Linked DNA regions of Arabidopsis thaliana. The protein of the gene in region 2 purifies or fractionates together with the protein of the main gene of each other region. This does not show direct contact. Each region holds a gene or a part of one and is shown on either strand. Other genes may lie near its edges.

Evidence for each region. Proteins that work in one complex are often made in the same cells at the same time.
Region 1: the proteins of PGM2 (region 2) and OASA2 fractionate together in Arabidopsis thaliana (co-fractionation; one large-scale study listed by BioGRID). This does not show direct contact.

What each region holds. Positions count from the first base shown.
Region 1 is NC_003074.8:7,962,458-7,966,214, reverse strand, and holds OASA2 (O-acetylserine (thiol) lyase (OAS-TL)), read right to left. Parts: upstream 2,089-3,757; 5' UTR 2,025-2,088; coding exon of another isoform or gene 2,012-2,024; coding exon 1,967-2,011; intron 1,879-1,966; coding exon 1,615-1,878; intron 1,539-1,614; coding exon 1,502-1,538; coding exon of another isoform or gene 1,446-1,501; intron 1,442-1,445; coding exon 1,401-1,441; intron 1,322-1,400; coding exon 1,270-1,321; intron 1,115-1,269; coding exon 1,035-1,114; intron 945-1,034; coding exon 885-944; intron 731-884; coding exon 650-730; intron 557-649; coding exon 464-556; 3' UTR 308-463; downstream 1-307. Other genes in the region: AT3G22470 (Pentatricopeptide repeat (PPR) superfamily protein), read left to right, coding at 1-149; AT3G22450 (Ribosomal L18p/L5e family protein), read right to left, coding at 2,837-3,757.
Region 2 is NC_003070.9:26,671,477-26,675,233, forward strand, and holds the start of PGM2 (Phosphoglucomutase/phosphomannomutase family protein), read right to left. Parts: upstream 1,691-3,757; coding exon 1,616-1,690; intron 1,407-1,615; coding exon 1,170-1,406; intron 950-1,169; coding exon 868-949; intron 773-867; coding exon 717-772; intron 564-716; coding exon 450-563; intron 331-449; coding exon 268-330; intron 122-267; coding exon 2-121; intron 1-1. Other genes in the region: AT1G70740 (Protein kinase superfamily protein), read right to left, coding at 2,371-2,817, 2,899-3,085, 3,222-3,456, 3,556-3,757. UniProt on the Arabidopsis thaliana protein: Catalyzes the reversible isomerization of alpha-D-glucose 1-phosphate to alpha-D-glucose 6-phosphate. The mechanism proceeds via the intermediate compound alpha-D-glucose 1,6-bisphosphate.

The sequences.
Region 1 (3,757 bases), on a different chromosome or scaffold from region 2:
TTGGAGGTAGTGGTCTAATCTCTTCAGTTGAACTCATAGAAGAAATGAAGGTGTGTGGGTTCTCTGCAGATTCTTCCACCATAAAGATGGTTATTGATATGTTATCAGATCGTAGATTGGATAAAAGCTTTTTGGATATGCTTTCTTGATTGTCTAATCTGATCTACAAGAGATAAAGAAAATATTTTTGTTTGTAATTCCAAATCACTAAAATATTGTACCAAGCTTGGGGCTATTTATAAAGTAGATGTAGTTGTCCTCTCGTCACTGTTTTTGATCACACAAGATTTCAAATAGAGAGAGCAAAAACTCAACCAGAAACTTTCTAGAAATGGATTGTTCATAGTAGCAGACAAACTACTTTTGAGTTCTCACAAATGACAAGATACAGACAGAATCTGAAGATATATATGTTGGAAGAAAGATCATTTATTTGTATCACCAAGAAGAAAGGGGAACAGATTCAGGGCTCAAAGGTCATAGTCTCTGCCTCTTTCCTTGCTGCATCAAACAGTACAGTCGATAGATATCTTTCCCCGAAACTCGGAAACACCGCCTGAAACATTCAGTTTCACATCTCTTATTATAAGATCGACTCTTAAGCTTCCATGAGTTCACTGTTTGTTCTTTAGCTTTGGAAAAAACGTACCACTATAAGCTTCCCAGCATTTTCTGGCCTCTTTGCAAGTTTGATTGCTGCAGTAGCTGCTGCTCCAGATGAGATTCCCACCTACAGTACATAGGAGGAGACAAATGTGATAACGATCAAGGACCTGTTTTTATTTTCATGGTGAGGTTTGAATCATAATGGTGAGGATAAAGCTGAATCAAGACATTTTTGGCTTAACAGAAAAATCTGATGAGGCAAAATGTGAAGCACTTACTAACAGACCCTCTTCCCTAGCAAGAAGCCTTGCCATGTCAATGGATTCTTCACTTGAAACCTGCGTAAGCGTTACAAAACTATAAGAGGCAACTAAGAAATGTAAGGTGTGTTTTGGAGTCAGCAAGATGATATTGGTATGAAACCTTACCTGAACAACTTCATCTATAAGATCAACATCCAAAATGCCTGGAATAAAACCAGCACCTATACCTTGAATTTTGTGGGGACCTGAGCATTTTTACCAATGTGTTAGGCTGAAATTCAATGAATCTTGATATGAACACCAAAAGTTAGAAGGACCTCATAATGAACACTCAAGACTAACATGTGAGCAAAGTAAAAGAAGAAAAAGTGTGCCAAAGAGTTCCTTATTGAGGACAAACCTGGCTTTCCACCGGACAGAATAGGGCTTTCAACAGGCTCGACACCATACAGCTATAAGATGAGAAAACAAATGAGACAAGTTTTGAGTTTACTAAGAAAGAGTCTGATTGTATAAGTAAATGAAATTCACCTTTATGTTTGTGTTCTGTTCCTTGAGATACTTCCCAGCACCTGTTCAGGTACCACCAGTACCAATACCAGAAACAAAGCCATCCACTTTTCCACCAGAACCTTTCCATATCTCAGGTCCAGTAGTCTCATAATGGATCTGCAATGAACACAATACTATGTTATAAGTATCTGACTTCAAATCCACTAAGGCACTTAAACTAAATAGTAATTACCTTTGGATTAGCAGGATTCTCAAACTGTTGAAGCATATAACCATTAGGTGTTTTCGCCAAAATCTCCTCCGCCTTTGCAACAGCACCTTTCATACCTTTAGCCGGATCAGTAAGAATCAACTCAGCTCCAAAAGCTAAGAGAATGATTCTTCTCTCTATACTCATTGAAGCTGGCATTGTTATAACAAGCTTATAGCCCTTTGCAGCTGCAGTAAATGCTAAACCAACTCCAGTGTTCCCACTTGTTGGCTCAATCAACACACTCTAAAGAAAAAACTCAAAAGTTAAAAATCTCAAAAACTAACAAATGAAGAATCTGACTAATAGCTTCCATTTAAAAAAAAAAACAGACCTCTCCCGGTTTAATAAGTCCTTTAGCTTCTGCATCAGCAATCATACTATAACCAATCCTGCAACAAAAAAGAACAAAGTACAAGTATTTGTTTCTTTTGTCACTAACAGAGAAACTAGAAAACAGAGCTTTTAAACTTTTCGGAAGCACCTGTCTTTGACGCTAGAACATGGTTCCATCATCTCAAGCTTAGCAGCAACATGACCAACACAATCTTTAGCTACTTTGTTTAGATACACTAATGGAGTGTTCCCTATTAGCTGCTCCCAAATAATAAAAAATATCAATTAAAAAAAAAACATTTACTGACAAGACATAGTTGAAGAAAGACATAATCTTGGAGGTTACTTACTTCAGTTACATCTTTAGCGATTTTAGGAGCCACTGAAGCCATGTTTCAAGCTCACTGCTTAGATTTCACAAAAGAAAAAAGATGAATGCAATTGTTAAATATCATGTATAATTAATCAAAATATTCGATTAATATAGGATCATCTCATCATCTGATTATAGGTTTACAACAACAACAAAAAAAAAAAACTTATTTAAAACTTTTCATTTCACGCCAACTTTGTCCTGATCATGATGCATCAAAAACTTTCCAGATGAATAAACAAACCATGATATATATATCATCATACCTGAAAATATATCGATCTAGCAAATAAAAATCGGTGGGAATTGTGAACAAAGGTCGATCGGCTATGGAAGAGCAGAGAAGTTACGTATAAGAAAACGATGATATCATTGTTAGAAAGTCAACACTTTGACCCGACAAGAAACGTAGAAATGAAACGGATAACATTTTTTGGGCCCCACACAGAAACATATCTTCTGGGCCCATATTACAAACTAGAAAATTTCAGTCCTCTAGGCCATCATTAGATGACTAGTCTTCTTCTTAAGTTTCCTCTGCTTAAGCTTCACTTTAACATTAACACCATTGTCAATAAGAGCTTGAAGCACGACCTGAAGCTTACCTTCAATTTTATCTCCTTTCCTAGGAGTGTATATAACATCATGTATGTCATCTTCCAAACTTCTTTGAGCAAGAACTGCCCCAACCGCAGCGCAAGCTGCAACGTTTCTTCTCGAACCAAGATCGAATTTCATGTCTTTTGAAATCGAATGAGCCACAGTTACAACCTTACTAGTCACCCTGTGAATCACACATGCTCGTACAGACTCTTTCGAGATGTATATGTCTAAGCAAAACGGGTAGTGAAATGGCGCCGTGAGTTGGTTAAACGTAAATGTTCTTTCTCTCTTCTTCACAGCTTCATTAGGATGATCCGTCTCACCTGTGAAAGAGTCATTTCTCTTCTTGTATTCGTCACGAACTTCCTTCTTGTTATCCTTCTTTATCTTTGTTTCTTCTTCTTGGTTTTGCTCCTTTTTAGCGTTCTTGTGTTGATTCTTGCGGTGGAAGTCATAGTTGTATTCCTCGAATTCTTTTGAACCTCGATCGAGCTTGAAGAAAAGATCACCGCGAATTCTCATGTTATCGATTTCATCGTGATCGGGATCTTCATCATCGAGTATTGTTTCTCTTACTCCTTGTATTGTAACGGGAGAGTTTTTTGCAGTGTCTGCTTGGAACTGTCTCCAAGCTTGGGATAAAGATGATGAAACATGCCAAACATCATCATCCACAGTTTCTATACCACAACCACTCAAACCAGTCACTGTAACTTTACCACTTTCACTGTTGGAAAATCTCGAGGAGAAGCAACGCGGTGCAGGTCGAAAAACGGAGATAAAATCTGGCAAACGGAGACACTTTCTTCTCAA
Region 2 (3,757 bases):
CCCTGGGTAGATCTTCCGCTATTGGGTACTCCTTGATTGTCTTTGTGTTCTCGTAAATCTTATCAGTGATTGATTCAGGAGCTGGTCCACCATTTTCCATATTGTACTTAATTCCGAAATCCTGTGAATAGAATAGCAGGAAATCAGCATATGGAAGCAGAGAGATGAACATATAGTTTAACAAAACTGATGCTAGGATTCAAATAATACTAAGTGAGGGTATCGAATGAACAAGCACAAAAGAGTGAGAACAAAAAGAGAACTGACCTCAGTTGGGCCACCAGGATTATGACTTGCTGTTAAGATAAATGCTCCTGTGGCTTTAGATCCCTGAAATTGGATCTCGGGTTAGTTTCTCATCACGTCATTACATGTTGCAAACATGCATAGCCTTAGATAACAACCCAAGAGAAAAGTAAGTAGTATGAGTTTAGAGGAAGATATCTCACATCAGCCCCTACTCTTTCACGAATAATAGCTGATACTGCAGGAGTTGATAGCAGACTGTTTTGACCAACCCACACACGTCTAACACCATTAGCTGCTGCCATCTTTACTATAATCTGTCCAGATAGGAAATAAAGTGGTATTGACGAACTATCTTTTTTATGAAATAAAAGATTCAAAACAACTAAAATAAGAGTAAAGTGTCTAAGAATTATAAGTTAATGCAAAACGCAGTTTGCCATCATTCAAAGGACATATAAAGCTTTTACCTGAATAGCTTGCTCTGAATAATAACGACCATCACCAGAAACCACAAGTGTCGCACCTGAAAAAGTTAACAAATACTCTTTCTTAGATGGAATTTGCAATCATCGACCTTTACCTGAACAACAATCAAAGAGAGGTAAGAGAGATCTTTACCTTTAACTTTCTCTGTAGTAAGAGCATTGAACGTTGCCTGGACAAAATTTTCAAGGTAATTTGGTTGCTTAAACACTTTCACCTGTAAAATTACGAAACAATGCGTAAATTCAAATCTCATCGGATCGGATCAAATTGTTAAAACCAACACACAAAATTCATTCAATCCATAAGATCGGAACTAAATGAAGAAATCAATTTCGTTGCGAAGATCTGAATTTAGAATTCAAATCTCTAATCCAATTTCGAAATAAGAACGCGGGGATTGATATAACAAGGAGAAGAAGCGAAAGCGAACGAACCTTCTTACGGAGTCCAGAAGTCCCAGGTTTCTGGCCATCAATAGGCGAAGTAGAGACGAGAGAGACCTTGAACGACACCATTTCAAATCTGAAGAAAATCGAATAAGCCTGAAGATGATAAAATAAAAGCCTTTTTACACAGTGAGTCTGAGGAAAGGAGATGAAGAGGCTAAACGAGAAGGTGACGCGTGTGGCTCGTCTCTTTTCGTTTTTTTTTTTGGTAGGATCTCTTTTCGTCTTTTAGTGGACCTAACTTTTTACCCAAAACGGGTTAGTATATATATTTTATTTTTAATTTCCAATAGAGCCGAAACGATTACAAGGCCCAACAAGCCGACAGAGGCACGAATGGCCCAAAGAACATACATGGCAATAACTGCCTAAAAGGACACGCAGGCCCTAGAACTAGAACCTAAATAAAACAACGAGGCCCAACCGGGCATTACCCCAAAAATGAAAAGAGAAACTTTAACTGAAGAACCTGAATCAGGTAGAAAGCAAGAAGTAACCAAGAGGAACATTAAAGCAAGAAGTAACCAAGAGGAACATTACGTTGATGTCTCTGATGATTAACACTGACGGTCTGTGATTCTTTGGCGAAGTTCACCTCTAGAGTGAACCAATTTGATTCACCCCCTTTTTAATGACAAATCAAAATACAACATTATGACATGTCATACTTTATTTAAAAATAAATGAAAACTAAAATTTGAAAAAAAAAATTAAAGAAACAAAATCTGTATATTTTAAATTAAAGAAAGTTAAATATATGTTTGTGTATTTTCTCCACTAATTTCAGTTAGTATTTCTTTTACTATCAAAATAATTGTTTACAAAAACCCTTTTTATAAATTTTAACTGAAAAATAATTTAAAACGCATAAAAAACATTTTAGTTTTATGTTTTGTTTAAAGTAAGGTACCGTTAATACGTACAAGAGAATATGCTTTTATACGTACGAGGCCAATAGTGGGGACCTAGATAATGGGACTACAAGTGATTATTCTAATATACAAATGTAACAAATGAATCATAATTTTTTCCCGCTAATATAACAAATCATACTACAAAACTAAATCACTACTGCAGTCAAAAAAATAAATTAATTTACTTTTCAAAAGCAAAATTAAATAAATTATGAAACAAATATTATATATGCAGCTCGCTATTTACAATCACCTATGACCAGATTTTATGTACTTCAATAACTCATATGTCGTTTCCCGTGAGGGTCTGAGCTAGAGCTCTGACCAGCACTTCTAGTGGCATTACTCCGAGTTGAAGCTTTAGAAGATGCGGGGGTACCTCTAACACCAGTTCCCGTGTTTGTGTTCAGGTTTGAACCGAAAGAATCTGTGCTGGAACCAGTGGTCGACAATGTTCCAAGTGATGCTGCTCCTGAAGGACGTTGTGTTCGCCGACGGTATCTAGATCCCGGGACACCAGGATGATCCGGTTCTTCTAGATGTCCTGGTTTTCTAGAGAGAAGTAGAGATACCCGTCTCATGCTCGGTCTTTGATGCGGATCGCCTTGAACGCAGAGTAGTCCGATCTGTACACAGAGTTTGACTTGATCTGGATCAGCTGAAGCTGCTATATCTTGGTCTAGTATCTCCATGGTCCGGCCTTTCTTGTACAACTTAAATGCCTGTGTCACATTCAGAAAGAATTTAGCATTGGTTATATTACGCTGAAGAATATTGGCTGGGTCAGGCCATCACACAACAACCCTATAAACAATGGAGCATGAGACTAGAGGCTTTACCCATTCAAGAAGAGTCTGGTCAGGGTGTCTCATGCTAAAACTCGAGTTCTTCTGTCCACTTACGAGCTCCAGAACCAAAACCCCAAAGCTGAATACGTCTGCCTTTACCGATAGAACCCCGTGCATTACGTACTCTGGCGCCATATAACCACTGCGCATAAGAAAAGAAGAAGCAATGGACGTTAAATAACATTCTACCATGAAACACCAACAAACAAAAAGAGTTCAAATGACACAAGAAGATATGTAAATGAGCTTTTTAAGGGTAAACAATAGAGAGAGCATACTTGGTTCCTGCAACACGAGTGTTGACATGTGTTACATCTTCCTGATAGAGTCTAGCCATCCCAAAATCTGCAATCTTAGGAACCCATTTTTCATCCAGCAAAATATTGCCAGCCTTAATATCCCTGTGGATGATGCAGTTTGGCGCGTCTTCATGTAGATAGAGCAGTCCTCGAGCAATGCCTGTTATGATCTCAAACCTCTGCTTCCAATCTATCTCCGATTTTCTGTTGGATTCTGCATTCAAATGAAGCAACCACTACATGTTAAAACCATCTTCTTTCAATATCATTTATCCTAATATACAAACCAATCTCATTGAGAAGAAAAACTTACTGAAGAGGACCTTGTCGAGGCTCTCATTAACGACATACTCATAAACCAAGAGCTTATCATCTCCATGTGTACAATAACCCCAAAGATTAACAACATTGCGATGCTGAACTTTAGCCAACAACTTAGCCTCGTTCACAAACTCGTTTTTGCCTTGCCTTGAAACCTGAGATAGCTTCTTCACTGCTATGTCTCTCCCGTCAGG